Oryctolagus cuniculus: one gene and its partners. The protein of the gene in region 2 purifies or fractionates together with the protein of the main gene of each other region. This does not show direct contact. Links are inferred from orthologs where the notes say so. Each region holds a gene or a part of one and is shown on either strand. Other genes may lie near its edges.

What was found.
Region 1: the proteins of SMARCC2 (region 2) and BCL7B purify together in Homo sapiens (affinity purification with mass spectrometry; 3 studies listed by BioGRID and IntAct, counting the BioPlex papers as one, with this or other methods). This does not show direct contact. The link is inferred for Oryctolagus cuniculus from reciprocal best matches to the Homo sapiens genes SMARCC2 and BCL7B.
Region 3: the proteins of SMARCC2 (region 2) and TBL1XR1 fractionate together in Homo sapiens (co-fractionation; 3 studies listed by BioGRID, with this or other methods). This does not show direct contact. The link is inferred for Oryctolagus cuniculus from reciprocal best matches to the Homo sapiens genes SMARCC2 and TBL1XR1.

What each region holds. Positions count from the first base shown.
Region 1 is NC_091450.1:50,491,099-50,496,650, forward strand, and holds the end of BCL7B (B-cell CLL/lymphoma 7 protein family member B), read left to right. Parts: intron 1-468; coding exon 469-639; intron 640-2,274; coding exon 2,275-2,354; intron 2,355-2,480; coding exon 2,481-2,579; 3' UTR 2,580-3,492; downstream 3,493-5,552. UniProt on the Homo sapiens protein: Positive regulator of apoptosis. Plays a role in the Wnt signaling pathway, negatively regulating the expression of Wnt signaling components CTNNB1 and HMGA1.
Region 2 is NC_091442.1:58,976,252-58,982,648, reverse strand, and holds part of SMARCC2 (SWI/SNF complex subunit SMARCC2), read left to right. Parts: intron 1-1,304; coding exon 1,305-1,364; intron 1,365-1,510; coding exon 1,511-1,548; intron 1,549-1,809; coding exon 1,810-1,940; intron 1,941-2,238; coding exon 2,239-2,310; intron 2,311-4,156; coding exon 4,157-4,270; intron 4,271-4,699; coding exon 4,700-4,853; intron 4,854-5,509; coding exon 5,510-5,602; intron 5,603-5,833; coding exon 5,834-5,953; intron 5,954-6,042; coding exon 6,043-6,105; intron 6,106-6,397. UniProt on the Homo sapiens protein: Involved in transcriptional activation and repression of select genes by chromatin remodeling (alteration of DNA-nucleosome topology).
Region 3 is NC_091435.1:102,882,110-102,888,506, reverse strand, and holds part of TBL1XR1 (F-box-like/WD repeat-containing protein TBL1XR1), read right to left. Parts: intron 4,892-6,397; coding exon 4,770-4,891; intron 4,638-4,769; coding exon 4,563-4,637; intron 1,940-4,562; coding exon 1,812-1,939; intron 1,120-1,811; coding exon 954-1,119; intron 1-953. UniProt on the Homo sapiens protein: F-box-like protein involved in the recruitment of the ubiquitin/19S proteasome complex to nuclear receptor-regulated transcription units. Plays an essential role in transcription activation mediated by nuclear receptors.

The DNA of each region.
Region 1 (5,552 bases), on a different chromosome or scaffold from region 2:
AGGCAGGGCTTGCTCTATGTTGTTATCTTAGGTGGTCGTGTTGGGCCGTCAGACAGAGCTGGCGGATGGCAGTCCTTTGGCCCCGGGGGCAGTTGGCTTGAAGGGCCTGAGCTGAGCCCCTGCAGGTACCAGCTCCAGACAGATGGGTCATTTCCTGCACATCTGTGGCAGGAGGGAGATGGGCAGGTACTGACCAGAGGCGCAGCTGCACCTCTGCCCTGGGCAGTGAGAAACCCCAGTCCAGGCTGCAGCTGGGTGCTGAAGGATCCCGAGCTTCCCGAAGTGCGCAGGTTGCATCAGGATTCCAGCTGCCTCTGTGCTCGGGGTACAGAAATGCCGAAGTGAATCCGCGGGAGCCTGCAGCCAGCCTGCAGGGCACAGGAGCCCTGTGCTGTGGAGACGCCGGGTGTCCTGAGTCCTGTTGAGGACAGCTGCCCGAGCTGTCGCCTTCGCTGTGCTTGGTTTCAGATGAAAACAGCAACCAGAGTTCGGCGTCTGACGTCTACCAGCTGAAGGTGGACAGCAGCACCAACTCGAGCCCCAGCCCCCAGCAGAGCGAGTCTCTGAGCCCAGCACACACCTCGGACTTCCGCACAGACGACTCCCAGCCCCCCACGCTGGGCCAGGAGATCCTCGAGGGTGAGTCTGCCTTCACGATTGTCTTCTTTGGAGGAAGGGGTTAGGGGAGCACCCCACGGCCTGGCACCATCAAGCCATTTGGTAACAGCTTGGCATAGTTACAAAAACTTTTTTTTTTTTTTGACAGGCAGAGTGGACAGTGAGAGAGAGAGACAGAGAGAAAGGTCTTCCTTTTGCCGTTGGTTCACCCTCCAATGGCCGCCGTGGCTGGCACGCTGCTGCCAGCGCACTGCGCTGATCCGATGGCAGGAGCCAGGTGCTTTTCCTGGTCTCCCACGGGGTGCAGGGCCCAAGCACTTGGGCCATCCTCCACTGCACTCCCAGGCCACAGCAGAGAGCTGGCCTGGAAGGGGGGGCAACCAGGACAGAATCCGGCGCCCGACCGGGACTAGAACCTGGTGTGCCAGCGCCGCAAGGCGGAGGATTTAGCCTAGTGAGCCGCGGCACCAGCCAAAAACATTTTTTTTTTTTTTTCAACTTGAAAAGCAGAAAGGGGCCAGTGTTGTGGCACTGCAGGTTAGGCCACTGCTTGTGACACCAGCATCCCGGATCAGTGCATTTCAGTCCTGGCTGCCCCACTTCCAGTCCTGCTCCCACTGACGCACTTGGGAAAGCAGCAGAAGATGGCCCAAGTACCTGGACCCCTGCACCCATGTGAGACCTGGAAGAAGCTCCTGGCTCCTGGCTTCGGCCTGCTCTGGTCCTGGTTGTTGCGGCCATCTGGGGAGTGAATCAGCAGATGGAAGACTTCTTCCTCTCTCTGTCTTGCCCTCTGTGTCATTCTGCCTTTCAAATAAAATAAATCCTTAAAACAAAAAAAAAAAAGAAAACTTCCATCCATGGATTCACTCCCCAAATGCCTATAATACCTGGGACTGGGCCAGGAGGAAGCCAGCAGCCAGGAACTCCATCCAGGACCCCGACATGGGTGTCAAGAGGGTGTTCAGTAGCAGGAAGCTGGGTTCAGAACCAGAACCAGGACTGGAACCCAGGCACTCTGATGTAGAATGCCGGTATCCCAGCCTCTGCAGCAGACACCCAGTGCCCTGCACGTGGGCGTGTTGAGGAAGGACTGACTACCCCGTCCGGAGAGGCAGGAGGAAGCATGCGGCTCGAGCGAGGCGCAGGCGCTGTGGAGCCTGGGTGACCTCTCAGACACCCTGAGACAGAGAGCAAGTGGAGGCCTGGACGGGATCGCGGCGCTGCCAACTGGCAGAGTGGGCGTCAGCTTGAGTCCCTCAGACGCCAGCGTCCGTGCCCTTTGTGCTCTGTCCAGCACAAGCCGGAGTCGAGGTGCCCTGTCCTGGGCCCTCGTCAGCTTTGCCGCACTGCGATCTGGTGCCAGCTGGGCTACACGACAGAGCTGTCCTCTGTGTAGCTCCCTCCGTGTCTGTCTGCATCGCATCCCGTGGCAGGGGCCTGGGGAGCAATGAGCTGCTCTGGTGGGTCCAGGCACTTGCAGGCCAGGCTGGTCCCCTGTGGCCTAGTCTTAGTGTCCCCACCTCCCCGGGGTGGCCGTGGCTGCTCCACAAGACTCTGGCTCCTTCCCTCCTCACTGAGCCACTTCTGTCGGGTAACTGAGGACAGCGCCCTGCCTGGGGAGCTTGCCCTGGGCTGAACCTGCCGCTTTTTCAGAGCCCTCCCTGCCGGCCTCCGAAGTTGCCGACGAGCCTCCCACCCTCACCAAGGAAGAACCAGTGCCCCTGGAGACACAGGTGAGCGGTCACTGTGGGCGTCCCAGTTTCTCAGACACAAAGTAAAGGCTCTGTCGGCCCCTGGAGGGCGCAGAGAGGGTGTGGGGCGCCTCCGGGGTCTGCCAACCCACCTCTGGCTGCTCCTAGGTGGCCGCGGAAGAGGAAGATGCAAGTGCCCCACCCCTGAAGCGCTTCTGCGTGGACCAGCCTGCAGTGCCGCAGACAGCGTCGGCGTCGGAGAGCTAGCGGCGTCTGCACCCTCCGCCTCCCACCCCGCCTCTATTTATTGTTCTCTGGCTCTGGCCGGGCTGTGTCGCTGGGGTGAGGGCAAGCGCTGGGGTCCAGAGCCTGCACATAGGAACCGTCCAGCCTGGAAGCTGACAAAGGACTTGGGGTTGCAGCACCATCATCTGTCCCTGGCACCTGTCTGCTTGTTCCCCCCAGAGGAGGAGTGCTCCTGTCCTCCCATACCCAAGTAGGCTGGAGAGTCCGCCCTCCCCGGTTCTTCTGTCACCCCCAGGTGGCAGTCTCTGCCCCAGGACCTCTGGACGGAGCTGCTGGCATGTCTGAGAGAGAGAGAGAGAGAGAGAGAGAGAGAGAGAGAGACTGTGAGAGACTGTGAGAGACTGTGAGACTGTGTGGATGGCGCCCTCTAGAGGAGAGAGTGCCTAAGGATACTTGAACTTGAAAGGAGATTGTAGAAGCTGGGATCCTCAGGGTGTGCGGCCTCCAGGCCGCTGCTGGAGGAGACTGGGCCAAGGGAGGGAGGGTGAAGGTCCGTCTCTGCCCCAGCCCGAGGCGGTCCTGCCTCCGGTGGGCTCTGGCTGCTGGTGGTCTTTGTGCCCTCCCCCCGCGCACTCCCACGCCGGCGGCTTTGTTCCCACCCGTGCGTGTCATTCCAGCACCCCCTGCCTCCTGCTGTACACTCTGCCTCAGCAAGAAGTCGAGGTTCTGACATCAGCACCCACCCCCACAGTACTGCTTCAGCTCAGACTTCTAGAAAGTTCCCTCTTCTTTCAAACCTGCATGTTTAATTGAACTTTGTGATTTTATTTTTTGTTTCAAAAAAAGTTTAAGAAAATGGAAATGAGCGACAGTGAGTGAAGACATATTTTAGCACTGAATAGAATATTTTTAAAATTAAACTATTTGAAATAGTCTTGTTGGTCTCTGAGTGCCTCATTGTGGAAGGGGGCAGGCAGGGCTGGGGGTGCTGGGGGCTGGGCCCTTAGACAGGAGTGCGCTGCCAAGATTGCCTTGACATTGTCGTGTGGCCAGTGCTGTCCCTGTGTGTCTTACGCAGCCCCAGGCAGCAGGGAGGAATCCGTGAAGTCTGTTTTTCACTTTTGAAATCGTCGTAGAATGCACATCACACGAAAGCTTAGCATTTGCACCTGCAGGTCAGCACACAGTGTAAGCTGCTCACACGTCTGGTCATCGCCACCCTCCCCGTGAGCCTTCTCACTGCCCCCACGGGACCCTCCCACCCCACAGCACTCGCTCCCTGTTTCCCACTCTTCCCAGGCCCCGGCAGCCACGGATTCCTTTTTGTTCTGATTCCTAAGGAAATCAGAAGGGTCATGGTTGAAAAGAATCTGGCGTTAGGTGTGTTCAAGAGTTTCCTAAGTAATGCCTTTGACCCCTCACCGGGGCTCCAGGTATCATGGACGGGACTAGAATCCAAGTTCTGCTGCCCCGCCTTATTAACCCCTACTTGTTTTTTCTTAAAAATTGGACACTATTAAGTTGTGAAATGAATGTCACAGATTCCATGATGACTTGTGGCACATAAGATAAATGTGTTCTCTAATGTATTTAAGCAAGGGAAAGTATAACCAGTAAGAGGCCATCAAAAAATGGCCAGGGGTAGGTGTTTTGGGCAGTGATTAAGTCACGTCCTGTATATTAGAATGCCTGGATCAAGTCCCAGCTCCTTTGCTCCTGATCCAGCTTCCTACTAATGTTCCCTGGAAGGCAGAAGATGAAGTTCAAGTACTTGGGTGTCTGTCACCCACGTGAGAGAGCCAAAGGGAGCTCCCGGCTTTGGCCTGGCCCAGCCCCAACCCTAGCTGTTACATGGGCATCTGGGGAATGAACCAATGGGTGGATGGTTTCTCTGTCACTCTGCCTTTTGAATAAACACATCTTCAAAAATACAAAAAAAAAAAAAAAAAAAACATATGGGCTCACCTAACTAATGGTGTGGAATAAGGATTGCCCCAGAGGCCAGAGGGGTTTGGAGTATAAAGAAGACGAGTGGACCTCACCTTTTTATCTGGGGTTAGATTTCCATGCTGTGTTAGTCAGCCTTGACAGGTGCTTGTTTTACAAATACTTGGTGCCGATGTATCCCACATGGTCGCTGTCTTTTTAAGGAGTGTATGGTGTGGTGAGGTAGGGAGGGTGGACAGGAGCCTATGCCTCACGGGGGGTGGGGTGGAGGGAAGAGGACCGTAAGGGTCCGGGGAAGCGTTTCGCTGGGCATTGAAACCTCTGGTTGGGTGCAGACAGACCTGAGGAAAGAGAGTAACCAGGGCAAGTGAGGGACAGAGGTGGCAAAGCACTGGGCGTATGCAGGAGCAAACCATGTAATCGGGTCTCTAACTTCCCCCACATTTCAGGGAATTTGCAAAACCGGACAGTTAGCAAAAAGTCCCATAAATGGGTAAAGTGTTTCCTTCACCTCGGTTCACCTGGTACCCCTGGGTGGTTGGTCCAGGACCCCTGCAGATACCAAAATCTATGGGTGCTCACATCCCTTAGATAAATGGCCACAGGCGTGGGTGGTGGTGCACAGTGGGTTAAGCTTCCCCTTGGGATGCCCGCATCCCACGTTGAGTCCGTCTGCTCTGCTTCCAGTGGCGCTTCCTGCTTAGGCATCCTGGGAGGCAGCAGACGATGGCCCAGTAATGGATTCCCGACACCCACGTGAAAGACGCCCGGCTTTGTCCTGGCCCAGCCCGGTGGTTGTGGGCATTTGGAGAGTGAACCAGCAGATGGAAGATACATCTCTCTTCTCTCTTGCTCTGCCTTTCAAGTAGATGAAAATAAGAAACATTAAAAACAAAGATGAGGCCAGCACCGCGGCTCACTAGGCTAATCCTCCGCCTTGCGGTGCCAGCACACCGGGTTCTAGTCCCGGTCGGGGAGCAGGATTCTGTCCCGGTTGTCCCTCTTCCAGGCCAGCTCTCTGCTGTGGCCAGGGAGTGCAGTGGAGGA
Region 2 (6,397 bases):
TGTGCCACAGCGCCAGCCCTGTCCTATGCTTTCTTTTTTTTTTTTTTTTTTTTTTGACAGAGTGGACAGTGAGAGAGAGAGACAGAGAGAGAAAGGTCTTCCTTTGCCGTTGGTTCACTCTCCAGTGGCCGCCGCAGCCGGCGCGCTGCGGCCGGCACACCGCGCTGATCCGATGGCAGGAGCCAGGTGCTTCTCCTGGTCTCCCATGGGGTGCAGGGCCCAGGCACTTGGGCCATCCTCCACTGCACTCCCTGGCCACAGCAGAGAGCTGGCCTGGAAGAGGGGCAACTGGGACAGAATCCAGCACCCCGACCGGGACTAGAACCCGGTATGCCAGCGCTGCAAGGCGGAGGAGCCGCAGCGCCAGCCCTGTCCTATGCTTTCAAAAATGTTTAAGAACATAACTGTTCCTCTACAGCAGAGATGGGGGAAGTTTTATTTGGCCAAGGGCCGGGCCATGTGGATATTTCTAAAATCATTTGCAGGCCATACCAAATTATTAGAGATTAGCCAGCTATAGGTTTATTGAATTTTGAGTCCTCTCTGCAGTTGCCTTGGTAGTGCCAGACCAAATGATTTTGCGGGACTTCTATGGCCCATAGGCCAGACGCCCTCTACGTTTGCCCTAGAGGGTGATTTGCTGAAAATTAAACCGAGTCCTTTGCGAGCTTACAGACGCATAGTTGGAGGTAGGGGCCTGTCACAGACAAGAATGATTTGTGGGGACGGCGCCGCAGCTCACTAGGCTAATCCTCCGCCTTGCGGCGCCGGCACACCAGGTTCTAGTCCCAGTCGGGGCGCCGGATTCTGTCCCGGTTGCACCTCTTCCAGGCCAGCTCTCTGCTGTGGCCAGGGAGTGCAGTGGAGGATGGCCCAAGTCCTTGGGCCCTGCACCCCATGGGAGACCAGGATAAGTACCTGGCTCCTGCCATCGGATCAGCGCGGTGTGCCGGCTGCAGCGCACCGGCCACGGCGGCCATTGGAGAGTGAACCAACGGCAAAAGGAAGACCTTTCTCTCTGTCTCTCTCTCTCACTGTCCACTCTGCCTGTCAAGAAAAAAAAAAGAATTATTTGTGAATATAAGTGTAGAGAGTAGTCACAGGTATTTTTGGTTGGAGAAGGGAAGAAGGTAGTGAGTGTTTCAAGCCCTGGAATGATTGGGGCTGGAGGGAGTTGCTATGTTTTGCAGTCAAATGGAGAAAATTTGTTGAGAAAGTAGGATATGTAGAACTATTAATAGTGGAGAGATGAGGGCTCAGCTGAGGCCGAATCTGCCTGATGAGATGACTCTCTCTTCTGGCAGTGAACACTAAGAAGGACTCGGAGTCAGCTCCCGTCAAAGGAGGCACCATGACCGACCTGGGTAAGGGTCGACCTCGGGCAAGGCTGTCAGAGCCCGAGGCTGGGGGAGGGCTCAGCCCCGCCTCCCCCCTGGCCTGACAGGCTTTGCAGCAGGACTCCCCTACCCCTCGGGAGGCTTTAGCCTTATCACACTGCCTTCTCTTTCAGATGAACAGGAGGATGAGAGCATGGAGACCACGGGCAAGGTGGAGCCAGTTTAGAGAGGGCCTCCCTCTCTATGTGATTCTGATCTGTGATGATAAAATTCCTTCTGTCCCAGCTTTTCCCACTCCAGGCTAATCCTAGCTATTGCTCAAAGCCCCAAGCCTTTTCGAGTCCCTCAGCCCATGCCTGCTCACTCCTGTCCACCCATCATCTGTGTCCACTTCCCTGGGGTGTGGGGGGAAGCAGAGGGTTGCTGAGGGGACAGAGGAATGCTGAGTGTCCAGCAGCCTCCATACTCCTAGGATGAGGACGAGAACAGCACGGGGAACAAGGGGGAGCAGACCAAGAATCCAGACCTGCATGAGGACAACGTGACTGAGCAGACACACCACATCATCATTCCCAGCTATGCTGCCTGGTTTGACTACAACAGGTATTGTTCTGGCTTCTCCCTGGATGGCTTCCCTGACTCCAGGATCAGTGAGCTGCTGCTTCCCCTGCCTCCTCCGAATGAGAGTTTTGCCTCAGCCAGGTAGACCAGGCTGCTTTTCCATTCTCAAGGAGCTCCTGGTCTATTTTGAGTCTTAGAGGCCTTGTAGGGTGTTCTCCCTACATCTCTAATTCTTTCCTGCAGTTTCAAGCCATCTCCCCATCCCACCTTCTAGGCTTTTCTCCCCTCTGGAGCTCCCGCCTCTCCTCTAAGCCCATGTCCACTCTGACTTCTCTTGCAGTGTGCATGCCATTGAGAGGAGGGCTCTCCCCGAGTTCTTCAACGGCAAGAACAAGTCCAAGACCCCAGAGATGTAAGGAAATCTCAGCCCATGATCCCCTTCTCCCCTCTGTCCCTGCTTGCCCTTCCTGACCCAGCAGCATTCAGTTCAGCAAGCATTTGTTGAGCTCCTTGCGTGCTAGGTTTATAAAGACGTGATCTGTGCAGCCCAGCACTTGGACACGTGTTCTTTAGAATGTTCCCAGGGGGACATCCAGCATGCCTTTCTATGCAGAACAAGTGCCTGCTCTGGTACCCAAAATTCTGGCCCAAGGACACAGCCTCTCTGCCATGATCACTGAGACTGTCTACAGTGCAGACGTCTGTAGCACAAGTAGGAGCTTTAAAATATGAGTGACTGTCACCAAGCTGGTCTGAGAGTAGATTTTGATGAAAAGGACAAGAGAAGGAACTCAGAGAGGACCTAAGTCTGTGAATGGAGGGATAGAGAGAACTAGTTAGTATCAGGTGCAGAAGTCTTCATCTCCTTCAAGGTTTTGCCTCAGGCCAGACTTGCCTGGCTTTGGTTAAGACTCGGTGACCTTCTGTGGTTAGGGTTACTCCAGGGTAAATGCATGAGAAGGTGGGTGAAACTGAGAACTGAACAGGTTTTCTTCTTACCTGTTCCTCAGCTTCCCTTTTCTGGGGTCCTCTCTTCCCACCTGTTTCTTGGCCCATAGCCTGGTTCTCCTCCCAGCAAAGCAGTGTGCGTGAAAAGAAAGGAAAAGGAAGTAGTGCCCAAATGATACACCAGTCGGGTTGGGCCGGAACAAATTCTTGGTATATTCTAGTAAATGATGGCAATTGCCTTCATCTGTTGAGAGCACTGTCTGCCAGGCACCATCCTGAGTGTTCTGCACACACTGATTTTATCTCACATTAACGTTGGAGATAGGTCGTGTTATCATCTCCAGGTTACAAGTGAGACAGCTGGCTATAAAGGCGTTGTGTCTTGAATAAGGTCACACCACTAGTAAGTCGGTCTCCTTCAATCTGCCTCATGTTTTCAAACTTGACATTGCACCCCTAACAGCTTCCACGTCTTCAGCTCCTGCACTGTTCCAGACTGTGCTAGTGCTTTCCAGGCTTCCACGGCCCTCGGCAGACATTCCACTGTACAGGGGAGGAAGCTGAGTTCAGGAAGTTAAAAATCACTGGTCAAGGCCATCGCAGTAGAACTGGGATTTGAAGTTATATCTTCCCACTTAAGAACATACGTTCTGGGCCGACGCCGCGGCTCACTAGGCTAATCCTCTACCTGCAGTGCCGGCACACCGGGTTCTAGTCCCAGTCGGGGCGCCGGATTCTGTCCCGGTTGCCCCACTTCCAGGCCAGCTCTCTGCTGTGGCCAGGGAGTGCAGTGGAGGATGGCCCATTGGGAGACCAGGATAAGTACCTGGCTACTGCCTTTGGCTCAGCGCGGTGCGCCAGCCACGGCGGCCATTGAAGGGTGAACCAGCGGCAAAGGAAGACCTTTCTCTCTGTCTCTCTCACTATCCACTCTGCCTGTCAAAAAAAAAAAAAACTGTCCACCGTGTCACACATCTGCACACGCACAAATAAGGCTCCCCTTTAGTGTCAGGGTTTTAAGACAAGGGCATCTTTTCTTACCTTTTGATTCCTTGTTTCAAAGTTGGGTGTAACATCTCTGAGGGTAGCCAAGAAGACATTCATTTGCCTGGAACCCCGTCAGGGAGAGTGTGAGGCTGTTAGAGTCCCTTGCAGCCAGCACGCAGCAGGCACTCCGTGTATAGCGAGTCAGACCGTCTACTCTGTCCCATCTTTGTGGTGTAGGAGGAATCGTTAGCTCTTTTACCAGTTTCCTACCCTTCAGCCTTCAACATGTCTTCTTCCTCTTGTTCATCCCTTTCTCTCCTAAGCTACCTGGCCTACCGAAACTTCATGATTGACACTTACCGACTTAACCCCCAAGAGTACCTCACCTCCACTGCCTGCCGCCGGAACCTGGCCGGGGACGTCTGTGCCATCATGAGGTGGGTCTTGCCACTGAGTGGAGGGCAGGGGTGTGTGGGTGCATCCTGGCAGAGGGCAATGCAGCCAGCAGTGTAAGGGAGAGGACAGGGACAGACCTCTAGAGAAAGGTGAAGCCCAGGTGTGGGTGGTGGCAGTGTGGACAGGAGCACGTCCGTGACCATGACCGTGACAGCGGTTCTGTTTCACCAGCTGTCTGGGGAGGGGTGCTTAGCAGCATCTGGCTGAGAGAGGGTTAGACTACAGATGCGGGCTTGGTGTCACTGGGGTCTGGGTGGTGGGTAAGCAGTGGGATTTTCCAGAGAGTGGAATAAACAGAAGAGACCAGGGGAGGAGGAGAGGGAGCTTTACACCGCTGTCTCTACCACAGTCCTCCTCATGCACCTTTCCAGCTGTTCCATGTGACCCTGACTCTGCCTCCCTCCTCACAGGGTCCATGCCTTCCTCGAGCAGTGGGGTCTTATTAACTACCAGGTGGATGCCGAGAGCCGACCAACCCCCATGGGGCCTCCGCCCACCTCTCACTTCCATGTCTTGGCCGACACACCGTCGGGGCTGGTGCCTCTGCAGCCCAAGACCCCGCAGGTAGGGCGAGGGGCTGTGGGGACAGGGTGGGCTTGGGTAAGATTGGGCTTCTTCAGACTTTCTTTTTCTGGTTTTTAGGGTAATGGTTCAGGAGTATTTTGAGGCTTCTTCCTTTTCCATGGGAGGCGAAGGGCCACAGGCGTGAGCCCCGTGTGTTAGCACCCTCTCTCAGCCTCTGTACTCAAGGCTGCGAGGACTTCCTGAGGGAGTGAGATCCTCCTTGTCCTCAGGGAGCAGATAGGCCAGTGTAGGGTTGAAGCAGACAGAGGAAAATGGTGTAAAATTGACTTGCATGAAATTGTCACACTTCCTCATGTTTCCCACATTTTTTCATTTTTGTCTCATAATTATTATCACCTCCATTTTTTCCACTTCCATTTCATCTATTATAAAAATTAAGAGAAGAAAGGTTATGTGGCTTGCCCAAGGTCACAGAGTACCAAATCTAGGAATAGAATCTAATTGTCCAGCTCCTAAGAGAACCTTAAAAGTACATGTGCATACAAATGGACACCATGCCAACCATGTGTCTAATTAATCAGAAAGGGAACTGGAACAGTGGCATGAGTGCCCCAGAGCTTGCGGGCCACCCAGCATTTGGTCTTGGCCTGGTCATTTCCTGCCCAGCTTCCATGACGCCAAGCTCTGTCCCCCAGGGCCGCCAGGTTGATGCTGATACCAAGGCTGGGCGAAAGGGCAAAGAGCTGGATGACCTGGTGCCAGAGACGGCTAAGGGCAAGCCAGAGCTGGTAGGTGGGGTGCAGACCCCGCTGAGCTTCTTATTTGCCCCTTTATTGGGGGTCCCCTGCCCGGGAAAAAGAGGCATGAGAGCAGAGGAGCTACAGCAGTAGGGGAGGAAGTCCCGCCAGGGACGTCCCTGGACTGGGAAGGAAGCTCCTTCTGTCTGTTTTCTCTCTCTGTCTGCCCCTGACCCCCAGTGGTCACTCGTACTCACCTCTTTCTTTCCCCTCCACAAATAGCAGACCTCTGCTTCCCAACAAATGCTCAACTTTCCTGACAAAGGCAAAGAGAAACCAACAGACATGCAGAACTTCGGGCTGCGCACAGACATGTACACGAAGAAGAGCGTCCCCTCCAAGGTAGGCGGTGCAGGCTGGCTGCGGGGCTGGAGAACCTCTCCCAAGAGCTCCCAGGCTCCTGCCTCCTGACCCGCCTGCATCCTCTGCAGAGCAAAGCCGCAGCCAGTGCCACTCGAGAGTGGACAGAACAGGAGACCCTGCTACTCCTCGAGGTAATTGGGGCAAGGAAGAGAGTTCTGCTACAAAAACAGTAGGGACCAGGGTGCCAGCTGCACTTGGGAGCTGGGAGAGCTCATGGAGTCTGGCGTGAGCAGAGCACCATCTCTTCCCGGTCTCTCCCCTTCCTGATGTCTGTCACACCTGCCCCAGGGAACAGCTCCAGGCCAGGGATCTGGGACGTTTCTTTAACTTCAGATCCTTTCTTAGTGCTACTTGGAGATCCCCCTTGGATCCAGCAGAGTAAACACAAAGCAGAACACAGAGAGCTTTGAAGCCAGCTGCCCC
Region 3 (6,397 bases), on a different chromosome or scaffold from region 2:
CACAGTAATTCATGTGTGTACTATAACCAGCGAGGATCTGATGATCCAAGGGAAGGCCAGTGATTGCTATGAAAGGAACAGTAGGGGCTGGCACTGTGGGGCAGCAGGTTAAGCCGCTGCTTGCCCTGCTGGCATCCTGTATCACAGTGCCTGCTTAAGTCCTGGGCTGCTTCACTTCTGATTCAGCTCCCTGCAAAGCAGCAGCAGATGGCCCAAATAGTTGGGTAGATTCCTGCTATGCAGGTGGGAGACCTGGATGAAATTCCAGGCTCCTGGCTTCAGCCTGGCCTAGCCTAGCCCTGACTATTGTGGCCATTTGGGGAGTGAGCCAGCTGATGGAAAATCTCTCCTCCCCACCTCTGCTGCTGTCACTTCTACTTTTCTAATGAATAAATCAATCTTTAAAAAAAAAAAAAAAAGCCACAGAGTATATGGGTATAAAAACCAAAACACTGAAAAGGTTAAAAAATGAAAGCAACAGGATGGCTCTATACTTCTCTATGGCTCGCTCTCTAGCATAACCCTGAAAAGGTGCCAAGGTTCTAAGTTTGTTTCTCGTAATATCATCCTGCTCCACCATAAAATCTTGTCCTTTATTTTTCACTGCTCATGTATTACTTCCTCAAAGATAATCCTTTTAGAAAATCAAAATGTTATTCATCTAAATAAGTGCATCTTAATCTTTCAAAATTTTTATCTATGAAACTGCTGGGGAAGAAAAAGTAACAAAACAATGAATTATAAACAGATAACCTAAAATCACTAGTAAATATAAAAAACATAATTTCAATCAGTTCTGATCATTACTGAGCCATAAATTCTCCCTTTTTAAAACTAATAATTCAATTAACCCCACAGGAGGAATGATACCTGCCCCAAAGACCACATCTGTATAGGCAAATGCATCCACCCAGGTATAAGAACACCAAACCATCTAAATATCTCAAACATACCTGTGTGTTCCAGATGTGTACACATTTGTCAAAAGAGCCACTTGCCAGATACCTGCCATCAGGACTGAAAGCTACGCTGTACACAGGCTCTTGGTGTTTTGTCAAAGTATGTATGCAAATTCCTCTGTCAACATCCCATAACCTAACAGTAGAATCGAAGGATGCACTGAAAATGGAGGAAAGAAAATTAGATTAAAGGTAATGAAATACTCTTATAGCCTTGTATCCAATCTGCCAATATTCTGATACTTGAAACAGCCACAAATTCTTCATGAGAAGAAGATTGGACTGTAAGGAAATAAGTATTCTGGAACCTAGACAATTCTAAATCCCTAAACCAGAAAACATAAATAAGGTAATTCACTGTCTTTTTCACTTCAAATAATCCCTTTTTACTGATTCATGATCTTAAACACAGAATTGGCCAAATCTATTGATTTATTTTTAAGATGATGAAAAAACAGAACTATACATTATGTCTAAATTACTTACATTTTAATCAATATTTGATATCAAGTCAGAATTTGGTTACCTCCATTATGTCCTGAAATACTAATAATATAGCCTGTATTTAAAGGCCCCCCTTGAAAATATAGTCCCTGGGGAGTTTGGCCAGGCATTTAAGACAATGGTTAGGGTACCTGCATCCCACATCAGAGTGCCTGGGTTTGATTGCCGTTTCTTACTAGGACAAGACCCTGTGACAGCCAAGAAGGCTCAGTGGGTGGGTTTATTTATGCTTGTAAGATCTACACTGCCATGTCATAGGATCTTCCCTACTTGTAAATTCAAATTCATTAGAAGCTTTATTTGTAAAGGACTCATAAAAGGAAGAGTAAAACAGAAATATCGTATCACCTTGCTAACATAAGGTTGGCATTTGGATTATTCGTCCCTGGTCCAGTTGGACTCCATTTGATAGTATAAATCTCTTTATTATGTGCTTGCAAATCATGGACACAATTGTCTTGCTTCATACTCCATATCTAAACAAAAAAGAAAATGTATATAATTATGGTTCAGTATAATGAGTACATTCAAAATATACTATCTTGCCAGCCCAAAATATGAGTGATAGAACCAAAATTAAGGGAATATTTGTAATTTAAATACAGAATATATTTAATATTTTTGGAATAAATGATATTATCTTTGTCGCCTTCAAAAATATTCACTATTGTAAGGTTTGAAGACTGAATTATAGTTTTTTTCCATGATTACTTCTGGTAGATTAAAAAGTTGCAAAGTTCAACATCAAAATGTTAAAGGGACTGCTTTGATGCTGTCCCTTAAATAACAGACATTATATATTGCTCTTAGAATTAACTAGCCGGAAATTACTTTCTGTAATGAAGTGAAAATAAGTAAACAGCTTACAAAATAATGTGATGACTCGAACAGAACAAGTGATGAAAACACATGCAATAGAGCTAAAGTAGTAGAGAATAAGCTTCTGCTGAGGTGAAAAATGCTATGTTCAGGTTAAAAAATCTGCATTAATTATGAGCAAAAATTAATAGAAACCTACATCCAGAGTATTTTTGGATGTATCAATATAGACTTGAAAGGTGGAATGGGGGAAACACATAAGATGTCTTGACAAACACAAGCACATCAACTCCAACAGCAGAAGGGAAACAAAAGTTAGCTGGACTTCATACTCCTACAATAAAACTAACAAAAAATAATGGGGTACTATCATAGTGTTTTTGCAGTTCAGGCATTTATAACCCCATGTAAATGAACTCAAAAGATGTTTTTCCAGAACAAATTTCGTTAGACTTCCTTCCAATGGCATTTGATACTGTTGGCCACTCCCATCCAGTGTCTCTGTGAAGTACTTTTCTCTACACATTCTCTCTCTTTTCCACTTTGGTCACTCCTCAGTCTCTGGAAGCTTAGGTAGGTGTTTTGTAATGAGAGAATCAGACCCATGAAGCCTCTCCATCTGCATTACTCCGACATTATTAAAATTCAATATGATCTTCTCACTCAATTAGGTATTCCCTGTTCTCAGAAAATGGCCCTCTTACAGCTTGCCCATCCACCTAGTTTTTGTTTTAAAATCCTATGTGACCTTTATTTATTCTTAAGATGCAGAAAAGCTCTCTTAAAATTTCAAGTTCCAATCTATCTCTGCAGCTGCAACTCAATCCATGACATAAGGCTCAACGAGCACCGGCTTCCATTTCCTTGTATATCATATGCTTTTCTACAAATTTTTCATTTTATAAGTACTAATATATGTACATACAAGGAAAACTCCAAAATAAAAGCATTAAGAAAAGCCTTTTTACTAGCAATGCTCCTAAGGGAGCCAGCACTTGAGAACTATCTGACTGAACAAACAGCAGGTACTTAGGGTAAAAAAAATCCAGAGAGTTCCCAAGGTTACATTCAGTCCATTCATGGTAGGAGGAAAAGCAGTTTTCCCTCAAGATTATTTTATCTGTAAAGGTTATCACATCTGCAGTCTGGTATCACAAAGTCAAAGATAAAACTGTTTTCAGTAGAGTTATCTGTTACAGAAGAGAACTGCAGGCTTCATTTATTTTGGAGATTAGTAGTTGGCTGGTTTTTTACTTCAAAATTCTTTTTCCCTAACTGTGGTACAATGTGCTTAGATGAAAGGTAGCAACAGTTTTGCTTTCAGTCAGACAAGAAAAAAATAATAAATGCAGGTTAAAACGTGGCTGCTGGCATGTAGGCTTGCTCAGTCACTCAGAGACTCCCAACTCATTTCTATCAGTTTCCCAGCCAGGGAGATACAAATTCACATCACAACAAAAGCAAATTGATACAATTCACAGAATTTCAGATAAATTCACAAATGCTTCAAAGATCTTAAATATTTGTCAGTCAGATCTTCACATGTGAAAATAAACTTTAATTGAACCAATACATAGTGTTACATTTCTTACTGCCTGTGAGGGTTAATTTTATAAGTCAACTTGAGAAAGTCATAGAGAACTCAGAGATTTAACTAAACATTATTTCTGTGTGGTTTTGTGAGGGTGTTTATGGATGAGACTGGGTTTTGATCACTAGACTAAGTAAGGCAGACTACCCTCTCTCCAGTGTAGCTGGGTATGATCAGATGCAGAGAGGTCCGGAACAAACCAGAACGGCAGCCTGACCACTGAGCTAGGATACTGGGCTTCCAGGGACTGGAACTTAACCACTGGTATTCCTGACCCCTAGGCCATGGATCCTGCCTGGAGTTTCACCAGCAGTTTTCTGAGTCTTTAGTTGGCAAACAGCAGAACATGCATGTGATTATCAGCGACCATAACCTTGTGAGCCAATTGTTCACAAATCTCTTACGATGGATTGATTGGTCTGTCCCCTCTATGGGTTCTATGTCTCTGGAGAATGCTGATTAATATGCCATCATAACTGTATGACTATTAATACAATGTATTTGCTATATTCAAGTAATTCTATATATCCCAGAAAAGAAAATTAAAGTACGCAAAACAATAATTAATCATTAGAGAGCAGGAAAAGTTCTCACCAAGGCTTAAACATACAATGTAAGAAATATTCTAAACAGTCAAAGCAGGCACACTGTGTGACACTCCCATCGCATCCCCATTAAACATTAATTACCTTCAAAGTCATGTCATCAGAGCAGGAGGCCAGGAGATTGCCAGTTGGGTCCCATTTGATAGCATTTACTTCATTCTAAAAATAAATATTCACATTTTCATTTGCTAGATTGGGTTACTGTGCAGATATTAAACAGAAACATGTCAAAATTATTCTGAAATATCACTTGTCATAATCCCTGTAACAGGGAGGGAAAAGGTTTCTTACCGTATGTCCCTGGAATGTTTTAATAGGTCTGTCTTGTCCTAATTTACAGACATGAATGCACATATCCGTACTACATGAAGCAAAGGTGTTGTTGCTCTGCCAATCAACATCCAATGCTGGTGCTGGAAAGGAACAAAGTTGAAGTTTGCATTTATTCCACATATACTGAAGTCCAGAAGCTTTAGCTTTGAACCATAGTTAAGACATTAAGCATGCTACGTGGTACCTAACATTTTGATACTTTTTAAGATACTAAGAAAAAATATTTATTTTTAAAATAAAACTATCAAACTATCATAAGCATTACTTTCCATTTAGTTATCTCTATATGAGATGCACCCTAACAGAAAACACACTGACCTACTTAATTGGGAGACTGGGGTTCCTGAGTGTTTGCTCTATAAATTACTAGCACCAAAACTTGGGTGCTGCTTTGCAAAATGGTAAGATTAAAAGTGATGGGGCTGGCATTATGGTGTAGTGGGTAGAGCCACCGACTGCAGTGCTGACATCCCATATGGGAGCCAGTTCGAGACCCGGCTTCTCCACTTCTCATCCAGCTCTCTGTTATGGCCTGGGAAAGCAGTAAAAGATGGCCCAAGTGCTTGGGCCCCTGTACCTGTGTGGGAGACCCAGAGAAAGCTGCTGGCTCCTGGCTTCGGATCGGCACAGTTGCAGCTAACTGGGGAGAGAACTAACGATGGAAGACCTCTCTCTCTCTCTCTCTGCCTCTCCTTCTCTCTGTGTATAACTCCGACTTTCAAATAAATAATTTTTTTTTTAAGTGATGATACCATTCCTTCTATTTCCAAAGTGCTGTTGAGTGTTCAATGAACAAGAATCCTGGTTCTGCCACTATCCAATTAGAGTCAAGCAAATCACTTAAATTCTCATACTGTTTTGTCACCAATGGGGATAACATACCACTTTCAAGCTTACTACCCAAGATGCTGTGAAGAATAAGTGAGATGATGCATGTGGAAAGTGCTATGGAGATTACAAGTGTTAGACAAATGTTATTTAAGAATTATTTCCATTATAATCTACTCAATTTGATAGGTGGAATGTTGGATACTATTCGCAAATACACTTTCTTGTCAAATATGTGTGTGTATATATATATATACATGTGTACCTGTATCTTCCGTATTCATATGTGTATCTTATAGTCTATTTTTGTCAGTATCTCAAATTCACAGAATTTAAACCTCAGAAGCCCAAGAGTTGGCTGGCATTTAATACATAGTCTGAATTTAGCTGATACCATTAAACACTCTTTCCTTTGATTTTCTCCTAATGCAAGGTGCAAAGGCTGTCTGTAATTAGCAATGCAAATTAACGTAATGACAGCAAGAAATTGGGTTATGCAAGAGACACATATCAAGCAAACTGTGGCATAGGCTAAAGAAAACTGTGGTATGTGAGGCAAGAATGGTTTCTAAAGACACATAAAACACGAAAAATCACATTAAATTTAAATGTTAGTGTCCCATAAAATGCTGTACTGGAACCCAGCCAAGCTTATTACACTAAATATTATCCATGGCTGTTTTGCACCACAGGTCAAAGCTGACTAGTTGTAACAGAAATCCTTTGGTCTAGAAAGCACAAAATATTTACTTTGTTTT